Linked DNA regions of Anolis sagrei. The protein of the gene in region 2 interacts with the protein of the main gene of each other region in a biochemical or structural test. Links are inferred from orthologs where the notes say so. Each region holds a gene or a part of one and is shown on either strand. Other genes may lie near its edges.

Region 1 (6,937 bases), on a different chromosome or scaffold from region 2:
TTCCCCCACTCCCATGAAGCTTGGGAAAAGGACAAGGAAAGCAACTGAGAACAAGATCCAGAGTAAAACACACACACATATATATATAAAAGGCAACTTCATGCACTTTAGTCAACTCGGTGCCATTCAAACTCAGGCTTGTTTAGCTCGAAACTGAGATCCATTGTGATATTTTAATGAGAACAAAACACTTCCTTTGGATATATAGACCAGGCATCTTCAAACTGTCCCCCCCCCCCCCCCCCAGCTGTTTGGGCCTCTAACTCCCAGTAGCCCTAATGAGCTTGTTTAATTGTCAGGAATTCTGGGAGTTGAAGGCCCAAACAACTGGAGGGCCGCAGTTTGAGGATGCCTGGTATAGACGCACACATGTACTGCTACAGATGTGTGTGTATCTACACTAGGCATGGGCCAACTTGGGCCCTCCAGATGTTTTGTACTCCAGCTCCCACAATTCCTAACAGCCTCAGGCCCTTTCCTTTTCCCCCTCAGCTGCTTATGCGTTAGGCTGTTAGGAATTGTGGGAGCTGGAGTCCAAAACACCTGGAGGGCCCAAGTTGGCCCAGGCCTGATCTACACTGTAGAGTGGATGCAGTCTGACACTGCACTTCAAAGAGGGTGTCAAGCTACATACATTTTACAGTGTAGATCTCTACCTATAGCAAGGATTCCCATGTTTCACACTAAAAAAAAAATGAAAATAAAACCTCTGGCACTGCAAAGGCACTCAGCTGCCCAGACCCACGGGTGGTGAGGGTGGGGAGAGCGGGGCCAGCGAGTGACGCAGCTGCAGGACTTTCCGTGGGTTCTTTTGCTGAGGATCGAGGCTGGAGATTGCGGGCAGCCGTCTGTCAAAAGGCATTGTTCCCGCAGAGAGACTTTGCTAAGCCTGGGCCCTGTCCCCAGGTAGTCTAGACCTCCCGCACTGTCTACTGTCTCGTCCCTGGGGGAAAGGGGGGGGGGAGAGGAAGAAGAAAGGTTCTCCAAAGGACCGGCTCCGAAGGGGGCGGGGAGAGAGCAGGGAGGGGAAGAAAAACCCCTCAAAATGATGATGATAATGATACTAATACATTAATAATAATAATAATAATAATAATAATAATAAATTATTAAGTACCATATACAATAATATAATAAAAGTAGTAGTTATAATATAAATTATAATAAAAGTAGTACTAATATGCAACATAAAATAATAATATAATATATAATAAAAGTAGTAATAGAAAATACAATAATTGCAATAATAGAAAATATAATAAAAGTAGCAATATAAATATAATTATAATATAAATAAAAGTAGTAATAGAAAATACAATAATTATAATAATACAAAATATAATAAAAGTAGTAATAGAAAATATAATAAATATATATAATATAATACAAGTAAGTAATAGAAAATATAATAATTATAATGATATAAAATATAATAAAAGTAGTAATAGAAAATATAATAAAAATATAAAATATAATAAAAGTAGTAATAAAAATATAATAATTATAATAATATAAAAATGATAAAATAGAAAATATAATAATTATAATAAAAATATAATGGAAGTAATAATATAAATAGAATTATAGTAATATTAAATTAAATAAAAGGAGTCCTATAAATTACAATAATCATAACAGAAAATATAATAAAAGTAGTAATAGAAAAAATAATAGAAAATAATAAAAATAATAGAAAATATAATAATATAATAAAAGTAGTAATATAAATAGAATTATAATAATATAAAATAGACTAAAAGCAATCCTATAAAATACAATAAACATAATAGAAAATATAATAGAAGTAGTAATATAAGACTATAAGATAACATTAAATATAATAGTAATAGTTTGGTGAGGAACCAGCCTGCTTAGGTAGAGAAGGCGCAGAGGAATAACAGGAATCCCTGATTATGATTGTTGTTATGCTCGAAACCTTAGTTCTACCTTGCCAGAGCCATCCTTCAGTATACAGAGGGAGAATCCCATATACACAAAGCAGGGGGGGGGGGAGTGTAGAAGAACCCCCCCCCCCGCAACCCCATAGTGAAAGGGGGTGTTCCCCAAATCGGTGGTCACCCTTCTCCTTCTAATCCCGAATCCTTTCCAATTGCCGGGTTTGCTCCGTTTTAGATAGACTGTACCCCCGGTCTCTTCCTCCTCCTCCTCCTCCTCCTCTGCTTCGGATGGGAAAGAAAGGGCTTCTGCTGCGGCGGGGCTTACCTTCGTACATGGGGGCCATGGGTGCGAGGTTTGCCTGTTATTCATGGCCACGAAAGGCGACGCCAGCGAAGCAGGGTTGTCTCTGTGCCTGTGGGTTCTTCTCCTTCTCCTTCTTCTTCCAAAGGGGAGCCCCTTCCTCGCCTCCTTCTCCTCCTCCTCTTCTTCTTCTTCCTCCTCCTCCCGGGCCCCCCTCCTCCCTCCCCCGGCGTGGCAAAAAACTCAATCGCAATCTGCCATCTTGAGCCGACTCTGGGTCTCTCCGGAGAGGAGCCTCCTCCACCGCCGCCGCCGCGTCGCCCAGCCGCCTCCTGCCCGCATCCCTTTCTCTCCGCAGCCGCTCAAAGGGAAGGCAAGGCAAGGCAGGGCGAAGAAGGAGGAGGAGAAGCAGGAGGAGGGGGAGGAGGAGAGGTCAAGCGGAGGAGAAGGCACCTCTCCCCAGTCCCCTCCTCCCCAAACCACCGGGACCCCCTTCGGTCTTCAAGCAGGGGGGGAAGGAGAGGCAGCCACGAAAACGGGGTCTCTCTCAGCTCCGCATGCCGGTCCTGGCCGGGAGATGGCTGCAAAAGTTGCCGGAGAAGGGAGAGCAATGAGAGAACGAGGAGGAGGAGGAAAAGAGAGAGGGAGAAGGGGGGGGGGGGCAAGAGGGAAGGCACAGGGAGTTTGCAAATAATCAAGCGCCGATGGCACGGATCGCGGCTTCCCCGAAGGAAGGAGGGGAACAAAAGGGGGCGACGCGCGATCGTGGGGAAGGGACGACGCGTTTCGAGGAAGGAGAAGACAAGGAGGGAGGGGAGCCAAGCCCCGAGCCCGCCCCCCTCCGCCGGTAGCCAGGAAGGCAGGCAGGCAGGCAAGGAGGGAGGTGTGGCAGGGCTTGCTCGCTCGAGTTGTGGAAAACTTTCCCCAGGATCTACGCCAGGCACGGGCAAAACTTGGGCCCTCCCTCCAGGTGTTTTGGACTTCAGCTCCCACTATTGCTTAAACCGTCTCAATCATCCGCATCAAACCTGGTTGCAAGCACTTCATCACACCAGAGGAAAAAAATCCACTTAAAATCCGCTTTCTGCCTCCTGTAGAATTCTGGGGTTTGTAGTTTAGTGAGGCTGTTAAAGGTTCCTCCCTAAACTACAAACTCCAGAATTCTACAAGAGGCAGAAACCAGATTTTAAGTGGATTTTTTTTCTCTAGTGTGATGAGGGTTGGTTTGTGTGTGTGTCAGGAGCTACTTGATAAACTGCAAGTCGCTTCTGGTGTGAGAGAATTGGCCATCTGCAAGGCCAACCTAGCAATTTGAAAACATGCAAATGTGAGTAGATTAATAGGTACTGCTCCAGCGGGAAGGTAACAGCGCTCCATGCAGTCATGCCGGGCCACATGACCTTGGAGGTGTCTACAGACAATGCCAGCTCTTCAGCTTAGAAATGGAGATGAGCACCATACCCCGGAGTCAGACACAACTGGACTTAATATCAGGGGAATAACTTTACCTTTACCTAAGGACATTACCCAGGGGACACCAGGATGTTTTACCATCCTTGTGGGAGGCTTCTCTCATGTCCCTGCATGGGGAGCTGGAGCTGACAGAGGGAGCTCAACCGTGGTCTCCCCAGAATCCGAACCTCTAACCTGCCCCTCTTCAGTTCTGCCAGCACAAGGGTTTAACCTATTGCGCTACCCCACCAGGGGCTCCTCAAGTTTCCTAGTAAAGGCAAAGGTTTACCCCTGACATTAAATCCAGTGGTGTCCGACTCTTAGGGGTGGTGCTCATCTCCATTTCTAAGCCAAAGAGCCGGTGTTAACACCTCCAAGGTCATGACTGCATTGAGCGCCGTTACCTTCCTGCCAGAGCAGTACGTATTGATCTACTCACACTTGCATGTTTTCGGACTGCTAGGTTGGCAGAAGCTAGGGCTAACAGCAGAAGCTCACCCCACTCCCCTGATTCAAACCTGCAACCTTTTGGTCAGCAAGTTCAGCAGCTCAGCGCTTTAACCCACTGTGCCACCGGGGCTCTTATTGCTGCCTTATTGCACTGTCCCAATGGCTAGGTCCCACAGCCAAGTTTTTATCATCCTTCTAAAAGACAGGAGGGAAGGGACTGCTCAAATCTCACCAGGAAGGGAGTTCCAAAGTTGAGGGCCAATCACTGAGAAAGCCCTCTCTCTTGTCCCTACCAGTCACATGGCCTCCCCCGGAGGTTGGTTCATCAGATGCTCTGCTATGGCTGACTTCTCTGCTTGAAGTAATGTGCGGTGCCTTTCATCTTCCTTGATTCATGTTTGGCAATGCTGTGTTTGGTGGTCCCTATGTAGACTTGTCCACAGCTGCATGGTATACGGTAGACTCCTGCAGAGATGAGGGGATCCCTCTTGTCCTTTGCCAAATGTAGCATTTGTTGGATTTTCTTAGTGAGTCTGTAGATAGTTTGTAGGTTGTGTTTCTTCATCAGCTTCTGGGTTATTATATCTATTTGTACTTCCTTTCCTCTCTGGAACCAGACTCAAAGCCATAGTTTGAAGGCACTGCGAAGCTGGCCCTCCCTATGCGGGTTCTGCATCTACAGCTTGATAATGTTTTTTAAAATTCCAAAAAGCAAACCTGGTTGTGCCATTTTATATAACATATACTATTTACTATGCCATTGCATATAATGGGACTTGAACATCCTTTGATTTTGGTGTTCATGAGAAGTTCTGGAACCAAACTCTTGTAGATACCTACTGAGGGCCCAGCCATTTCCAGATTGAGCCTGACTTGGATTTTGGTATCTGCAGGAGTCCTGAGACTAAACCCCAGCAGACACACAGGGCCCACAGTGGCTCCTCCAAGAGCTCTAGGGTGCATCTACACTGGCCACTTCATGTGAAGGCATTTCAAAGAGGCAGTATTAAAATAATGCACAGCACAAACTTGTTTGAGAGGCCTTAAACTGGGATAAGCAAAATCCCTCCACAGGCCTTGTAAATTCAGCACCAAAGGAACTGCTTTGATTTAATATATACATCTGTAATAATATATCTATTTGTAATCTAATCTTCCTTTTTTCCTAAACTGCCTAAGCCAGGACTTTTCAACCAAGGTTCCCTGGAATAGTAAAATTCCACAAGAGGTCACATGTGATTTTGTGAGAGATCAGTACAGAATAATTCTGATTATCTATATCTGCAGTGATGCAACAGATTAAACCACTGAGCTGCTGAACTTGCTGCCCGAAAGGTTGGCAGTTCAAATCTGCTCATCAGTGGGTGAGCTCCCACTATTAGCCCCAGCTTCTGCCAACCTAGAAGCTTGAAAACATGCAAATGTGAGAAGTTCAACAGGCACTGCCTCGCAGGAAGGTAAATGGCACTCCATGCAGGTCATGCCAGCCACATGACCTAGGAGGTGTTTAAAGGCAATGGACAACCCAGGCTTTTTGGCTTAGAAATTGAAATGAGCACCGGTGATGAGCATCACCCCTCAGAGCTAGAATGGGAAGCCTTTACCTTTATTTGTGTTTCATTGTTTCTAGGCATTGAATGTTTAGCTTTGTGTTGTGTATACTGGACTCCACCCTGATTCTCCTTGGGGAGATAGGGCAGAATCTAACTCAAGTGTTGTTATTGTTGATGATGTTGTTGTTGTTGTAAATATAATAAATGGCTTAAATATCTTAAAGACCCCAAATCCGTTTGATCTTGGAACCTAAGCAGGGTTTGCCAAAGTGGATGGGATATTGCCAACAAATATTTAAGTGGAAGGAACTGGGAAAACCTATGGAATTTCAGGGGTCAACATAAGTTTATAAATGACTCTTTCTCTTTCTCTCTCTCTCTGTATGCCTTCAAATTACCTGCTGTCTTATAGTGACCTCATACATTTCATTGGGTTTTCTTTAACAAGGAATACGCAGAAGAGGTTTTGACAGTTCCTTCCTCTGAAATATATCCCACAGCACCTGGTATTTGCTGGCGGACTCCTATCCAAAACATAGCTGACCCTGCTTAGTTTATAAAGTCAGATGAGATCTAGTGCCTTTAGTGTGTTTGAAGGCACAGAGACATAAATATAATAATTTTTAGGCAAGGGTTCTCTGAGACCTCGGTATTATTTCACTGGTTTCTCCAGGGTAAAAAAAAAATTGGGAAGGCTGCTCTAAACAGCAAAAATGTCTGCTCGTGGTTGCAGAAATTCATTGCGTAACATATCTTATCAGTAATATTAGTTATAAAATATTTATTTTTGACCTTTCTTCACCCTATTACATTTCAGGATTTTAACAGTAGTACATCATATTCTTACGTCACACATTTTACAACACAGTATTTAGACATCAGCTAAGATAGACTCCTGATCCTTTATTCAAGTGCTCTGCATTTCTTTGTTTCACACAAACACAAACTTTGTGGGTCTTGTTTAAAGATAAGGAGTGCTGAGCTGCTGCCTCTTTTCTCCTCTTTAGTCTTTCCCCAAAAAACGGTGTGCTGTAAACAGTGTGTTTATGAATATGGTGAAATAAACCTATACTGTTGCTTTATGGAGCCCCTCCACTCCCACCTTAAAAAGAGCCACATCAGAAGCGTGTCTCTGGATTGAGTGTGACAGGCACGGGAGCCCCCTCCTGTGTTCATTTTAAGCGATCCATCTCTTTTGCTCAATTTCTGCCCTGGCACTGCCAGCTCTTTTCTTGTAACTTGTCTTCAGGGCATTTCCCTGGGGCTGTTGGCACAACCTGTCT
Region 2 (7,456 bases):
ATACTACTTGCATCAGGCCTATTTTGTATAAGCAAGGCTTGAAAACCTTTCCATTTCCTCAGCCCATATAGATGGAGAGGAAGATGATGCACCAGCACTGCAGTGGCAAATGAATTGCATAGGAATAAACCATTTTACCCTGTTCCTCAAGAGTGGGATTATGGTGGTCATTGTGCTTCGTTCTTCTTACCCTGTCAGACTGTTGTTTTTGGCAGTTGTCTTTCAGTCCCAAATTAATGCTTGTGTGAACTCTTAAATGTTCTGATGTACTTGAGTTTTGGAAGGCCTTCTCTGCTGTCTAAGGAGAGCTATATATGTCTCAAATGGATGAATCCTTTGAAGATTTATTCTGCAAACAATGTAGAATATTGTTGGAAGCTTTCATATATATTTAGTTGCTTAGATTTGGTCTTAGTCCAGATGACTGCTAAATGATGTGTGTCTGCAGTGAAATTCTGAATTATTTCCTTCTGGAAACAAACCCTCCAATAATGTTTGGGAAACTTCAGAGGTGACCCCCAACACAGGAAAGTGCTTATGATAGGAGGAAAATAGGATTGAAAGTTTTAATGTGTACTCAGACCATTGTATACTGCAAGTGGAAATCTTTTAAACTACACAGAGACAGAGGTCCAAATAAAAGCTACTTATTTAATATTGGCACTATTATTTATAGAATTTTAATGTTTATGGGTACCACATATGAAATTGAGGAAAAATTATTGTAATTTGGTGGTGTTCGTATCAGATTAAAGCATTGCAAGTATGTTGAATGGTATTATAACATTAGTGACTTTGTAACTAAGTTAGTTATTTACTTCATTGTGAGTTTCTATTCTCATCTTGCAGGTTACATATAGCCAACCTTTGAAATAACAGTTTGCTCCCCCCCCCCCTCATTTTTCCTGTGCACCCTTTCTCACTAGAACTGGCCAGTTGTCCCTCATGAAATCTTGCGGTTGACCATTTCACCCAGTTCCCACCCCATTGCCTGCTTTATGCCCATTTGGACTTTTTTCTCTCTTCAAAATGGGAAGTGGTTGTCATTGCGGTTTGAGAAATAATCCATATGGCACTAAAATAGTCTATATGAGCTAAAAGAGGTATTGAGAAATTGAATTAAATGTCTGGTTGTAACTTTTGCTGAAAGAAGTTTTTTAAAACACTTTTTTGGGGGGGTTGGTGGGTAAGGGAGGAGATACAAAAGTGGGGAGAGTCTGGTCTTCTATGGTCCTGGGATGATAAAGCCTCTGTCATGTCCTGATACTTCTAATAATGTGGATTGAAAACTGGAGTTTGAATTATTTGATTGAGGAATAGTTTTAGAAACAATTAATCATTTCTATTAAGTTATCTATGTTTGGATTGTTCAAAAATAACCAAACTTCTATGTATCATTGGAGTCAGCTGGGGCTTTGCAGGTGTTGGACTAGTGCCTGGATGCTGTCATGGGCTGGATGAAGGCCAGTAAACTGAAGCTGAATCCTGGTAGACGTAGGCTCTGTGAAATGGAAGTTATTCCATCCAGGAATTGAGTAACAGTTTGTTCTGGATGGGGTTGGACTCTCCATAAAGCAACAGATATCCAGCTTGGGAATGCTCCTAGTTTCCATCCGTGTCACTGAAGGCTAAAGTGGGCTTTGTAACCCAGAGTGCTTCATGCCAGCTTTGACTGGTGCCTATGACCTTTCCTGGATAACCTAACCACAGGTAATTCATGCACTGGGAACCTTCTAGGCTACTGCACTGTGTTCTGCATGGGGCTGCCATTGAAGGTTTGGAAACTGCAGTTAGTGCAAAGTACAGCAGCTTGACTGCTGAAGAAATATCATATACACAACATTTAATGCCAGTTTTAAAATAATTGCACTGGCTGCCAATACATTTCAGGTCTGAATACAAGGTGCTTATGGGGATACCGCAAGCCCTAAATAACTCTGACACTTGAAGGAATGCCTCTTCCTATGTTTACCTGTCTGAGAATTAAGATCTTCAGAAGAGGAGGGGTTTTCCCTGTCCCACCATGAGATGACTATGTCAGGACATGGGAGAAAGGCTTCTCAGCTGTTGCATCCCAGCTATGGAATGCTCATCTCCTGGAGGCCCAGCTGGCACCAATGCTCCTCCCATGAAAGCCTTTGAACCTCATTAATGCAACCTAAATATTATTATTTACAACTTTTTCAACTTGGTTTTTAAACATATTGTTGGATGTGATTTAAGTTTATGTACAGTCTGTTGCTGTTTTAGCCCGTTTAACCTGTTCTACTGCTGTTACAAATTTCCTTGCGATCACTTGACATAGGATGGGGTGTAAATATTTTAATAAATATATAAAATAAAGTGCAATGCTTTTTTTGTTATTAGAGTAGTGCTTTGGAAGAAAAATGAATAGCAAATACAGTCTAGAGTATATAATTTCAGGATGTTAGTGATATATTGTCGTTATCTATGTTTTCTTAGAGCTAAACATAGCTAAACACAGTCCAATTGCTACAGTTCTGGCAAGCAATTTTGTTTTCTCCAGTTTTTTTGTACTTCCTTTAGAAATACATTAATATAATAACTGTCATCACATCTGTAATGTAGAGCAGCAATGTAGTATGCATTGATACTACCTCTTCCATCTACTGATTATTTACATTTTACATTTATTTATTTACATTTTAAAAGATTAGGATTCCATGATTCAAAACATAGCACTGACCTGTAGTTGTCCCAACAGTTGGTTTGTGGCAACGTACCTAGCATATCTCTTTTCCATCTCATGTGGAACCAGGGTCATATTTAGGAAGTAAATGTATAAAAGAGAAGAAGAGAGAGGGGGCCAGGGGACATTCCATCTTGTCTCCAGTGCTATTCTAATAATATAAAATATAATAATATAATATAATATATATACATAAAATATTTATAATATTATAATGTAATGCAATATAATAATATATTATAATTATATATTTATATTACATGTAATATTACTAATAATATTACGATATAGTGATATGGTGCAATATAGCAATGTTTAATGCTGATATTGTACTATGCTAATAATATAATATATTGTATGTAATATATACCTTGTAAGCCGCTCTGAGTCCCCTTCAGGGTGAGAAGGGCGGCATATAAATGTCGTAAACAAACAAATAATAAATAAATAAAAGTACCAGATCCTGTATGATCTTGGAAACCAAGCATGTTCATCCCAGGTTAGTATTTCAGTGGGAGACCACCAATGGATATGAAGTTCTGTGAGCGATGTAGTTTGCATTAGCCACAGATTCATCCGTCCATGGTTTGAAAATATTGCAAATTTTGATTTTACACACAGTTTTACTATGCCATTGCATATAATGGGATTTAAGCATCCGTGAATCTTCATATCCATGGGATGTATGTGGGGATAGACTGGAAACAAATCAAGGACTAACTATATTCCAGTGAAAGGAACTCACAAAACCATCTCTGAGTATTCCTTGTTTAAGAAAACCCTATGAAGTTTTTAGGGTCTCTGTATGTCGACAGGTAACTTGAAGGCACAGGAGACTATCACTTTGTTTAGAAGCATTTTGAAGTGCCCGTGAAACAAAGATAAGAATAAAGAGCCATAATTTTGCTCCTTTTTTGTCGTTGTTGCCTTAACTGTGTATGTGTGCGCGTGTTTTTTTTACACATTATCCATATACATTCCTTAAATGCTTTAAACAGTGAAAAGTGTATCCATGAACTTCTAGAATTAGCAGTTGCTTCCTCCATGTGTCATCACTGTTGCTCTCTGCTGTGCCTAGTATTTTGTATATGGTAATCCCTCCCCCCATTTTTTGCAGAGACGACAACAACTTCCACCCCCGGATTACTATGTCCTCCACAGAGTTTGGGTTCGCTAAAGTTTCTTGAATTTTGCCAGCCCAGTTTGCTAAGGGAATCCTTTTCTGGCGAGATCACAGAGGAGAGTGCACTGCTAATGTTATCTCACTTTTGTTTCTTTTTTAAAAAATGATCCTTAGTTCAGAGAGCGGCCTTTTATGGGAAGGTCCAAAATTCAGAGGCTGTGCAGATGCTGTGCTTGCAAAGAGCTCCAGATTGAGTCACTGACCTGGCCAGGTAAAGTTGGAAAGGACCCCAGTAAACACCGTGGAGAATTGTTGCTAAGTTAGCATCGAAAGCCACATTGTACAGACATTGCCCTGACTCCTTAGCACAAGAATAGAGTGATGCCTTTGAGGTGAGCTGTGACTGGGGCTGGCCTTGCGTGGCAGAGAAAAAGCCCAACCCTTCTTTTCCCAGCGTCTCCTTTGCTGTGCTCAGCAGTCTCTGGCTCTGAGGAATGCTTGCCTTAGCTGGCTGCCAGCAGAGTCCGGCCGGTCATGTGAGACTGGTCCGCCCCATCACCCGCCTCCTTCCCTTCCCTCCCTGGGCTGAGGAGGGACGCCGCCTCTTCCTCCTCCTTTCCCTCCCATTTGTTAGGAGCTGAAGCAGAGCAAGATCAGGGCTCTGTCCACAGCCGGTGGCTTTACTCCTGGTGCTGCCGTCTTCACTTGTTTTGTCTTTGGCTGTACTCTTCATTCTTGGGCTAGAGCTTCATTATCGTCTGGTTGGATGCACTTGAAATCGTACAAGATGTGGTGTTGGAAATTCCAGGATCCTTATCAGGGAGCCTTGCTGATCTAGTGGATATACCTAATTGGAGCTTTGCCAGATCTACAGCTTCACCTCTTCTACTCCCACCTTGCTTTGGATTACTTGGAAAACTTTACTTCAACGCGGGGAGCTGACTTTCATTGCCCTGGTTTGTCCCAGGAGTGGCGAGCCTCTTGTGGCTGTGGCCCCCCTTCTGGGTGCTGTATTCCTGCCTTGGAGTTTCCAGGAGGGGCCTCTGTTGTGGATTGTTTTAGTTTCTATGGAGAAACGCAATGAGCTCTTTTACTCCTCATGACGGGGAAATCCGCCTTCAGTTTTTTATATGCGTGGAAAGGAGTCCTTGATACATGCCTGCCAGGAAATAAAGCCAGCAAAAGAAAAGGTAGCCATTGTTTGACCAGAATAGTTAGGTGCTGCATTTCAGTGTTAAAAGTTCGCTGTTGCCTGGGATATCACAAGCATGCACTCTTCATTGTTTGGCTCGATATCAGAAATGCCTCTGGGTAATTCTTCAGTATGAGAGCTGATCCTGCAGTTCTTAGTCCAGCTGGTAATTTCCTTTTTTGTAAAATCTAAGGAATTTAGCAAAATTAGGTTTGTGGCTTATACCTTTCCTTGTCTTTACATTCAATACATGTTTGAAAAGGGGCAGAAATAACTACAATCACTGATACACTTCATGGGAAAACAGACCAGTGTTGACATTGTCCACATGGCCTGTTTTACATTCTATCACTCTACAATAATGGCACCACCCTGGAATCTAGCGTGACCTGTAACACCGAAGAAATCTTATCAGGATCTGAATATAGTTTTCTTCCTGAAGTGCTGCCAAGTATTGAACTGACCTAACATGTTTGTCTTTAGTTACCATGATAAATAAAAATGGGGGGAGAGATAAGAGACTTGCCTTTCTTTGCTTTCATCTGAGTATCTTTTAATGCCAAGACACAAGAGATGCCATGTATTGTTTTCCCTTATGCTGACATCAAACATCCTGAACATATTTCTGCTCATTGGAATTTTGGAGCATGTAGTGGTAAAGAACAAAGTAGCTGGACTTCTCTCATATGATAATGGACTAAACTGGATTCGTGTAATCGTTATTGAGAGAAGTCTTGCTTTAATCAGAGCAGATGCATTTATAGGCTGCTGAAAGCTCTATCTGTATTTCAGAATTGGGCAGGACCTGACAGGCTCTGTGATGATGAGAAAGGATCCCACACTTAGCACACATTTTGTAGCTTGTGTTTTGGGAAGGCACATAAGGCATACTTAAGAGTAGTGGCTCAACAGGCTGTCCTGGTTCTCCTTGTTGTATGAGGATGAGTTTTCCATCCAGAGTCACAGGCCTTTTTGCATATATCCTCCTGATGTTGATCCTTTTCATTCCTAGAGACTTGTGTTGAGATTTCTGCCAGTGAAAATGACTGTGGTGGTTGACTTCAGCTGTTGCCAAGTAGTAAATTGCTCATTTTAACATTGCTTCTTCTTTGGGAGTTAATATAGCAGGTCATTAGAAACAGCTTGCAGATAACCACTCACTCCCACTATTTTGCATGTGTTCTGCAAAGGCAGCTTCACTCAGGTTGCTGATATATATATGTGTGTGTGTGTGTGTGTGTGTGTGAACCACAAGATAAAATCATATATATGTGTGTGTGTGTGTGTGTGTGAAAATCATATATATATGTGAACCACAAGATAAAATCTAAGCTTGGAATCAGGTTTGTCAAAGGTTGGGTCCAAGGTTGATTCCACAACAAAAGAAGAGTGTTAGTTACTCAAGAACAAAACATAAACTGTGCATGTTGATAGAAGAAAAGAAAATACTGTGGTTACCATAAACATATGACTGTCCCATTTAGTATCTGTGTTCCCATGGTGCTCTCAGGTTTAACTCTTCCATTTCAGTAGCATCTGCACACTGCAGTGGCCTTGTAATTTAATTACTCTTGGTTTTTTGTCCGGTTGCTCACTGCTTTATCTTGCAGAGATCTTATGATTACAGTACTTATCAACGCCTAATGGAAAAGGAGGTATGCAGATTTCCCACTAGGAAAATATACAATTTTTAGGGTATTTTCACAGTAATTTAAAAATGGAAGTGAACTTTATTTATTTCTAGTTCCATAATGGCATTTATTTTTAAAAATCAGTTTCATTTAATATTATATTATCTATGGCAAAACATAGATATTATGGTGATGGGGCTGATCAGTTGTTACTAGTAAAGTAATAATGTAAACACAACTACTGAAATGATTATTATTGTTGTAAACACAAGCAGAATGATACAAATGTCAAAAACAATCCCACAAGGTTAAACAGAAAAAATAGATAATGATATTCCACTTGCATTTTCTCTCAATTTGATATATCCTATTATCTTAACCTTACCAGCTCCACAATCAAGTCTCACTTGTATTCAGTAGTTTTTCTCCCCCTCCCCCACCCCACCCTCTGGTGTTATTTTAATTGATCAATCGTGAAGAAAGTATGATTCAGTTCTTTATATTATCCTTTTCTATTTACTTTAGCTATCAAAATTCCCCATTTGAGTCCCAATTCTTCTTGAAATGGCTTGTTGTGTATTTATTTAAAGAATGGTTGTGTTAGTTTTCTTATTGGTTTTTTTTTTTTAAAAAAATTGAACTTTCATATCATAACAGTTAGCTATCTAGGTTTAGGTATACCCAGCAAAAGTGAGAAAGGTGAATTTTTTATGTTGCATGTTGGATATCTGATCATTAGAAAACAAAGGAGACCCATGGCTTTCTTGATTGAATTACAGTGTAGTGTGTTCATTAGCATG

What was found. The genes of interacting proteins can lie anywhere in the genome.
Region 1: of the proteins of SIAH1 (region 2) and HIPK2, one has a biochemical effect on the other in vitro, tested with the Homo sapiens proteins (4 studies listed by BioGRID, with this or other methods). The link is inferred for Anolis sagrei from reciprocal best matches to the Homo sapiens genes SIAH1 and HIPK2.

What each region holds. Positions count from the first base shown.
Region 1 is NC_090025.1:172,264,034-172,270,970, reverse strand, and holds the start of HIPK2 (homeodomain-interacting protein kinase 2), read right to left. Parts: upstream 3,008-6,937; 5' UTR 2,243-3,007; coding exon 2,224-2,242; intron 1-2,223.
Region 2 is NC_090028.1:36,559,128-36,566,583, forward strand, and holds the start of SIAH1 (E3 ubiquitin-protein ligase SIAH1), read left to right. Parts: upstream 1-4,439; 5' UTR 4,440-4,932; coding exon 4,933-5,023; intron 5,024-5,055; exon of another isoform or gene 5,056-5,157; coding exon of another isoform or gene 5,158-5,191; intron 5,192-7,456. UniProt on the Homo sapiens protein: E3 ubiquitin-protein ligase that mediates ubiquitination and subsequent proteasomal degradation of target proteins.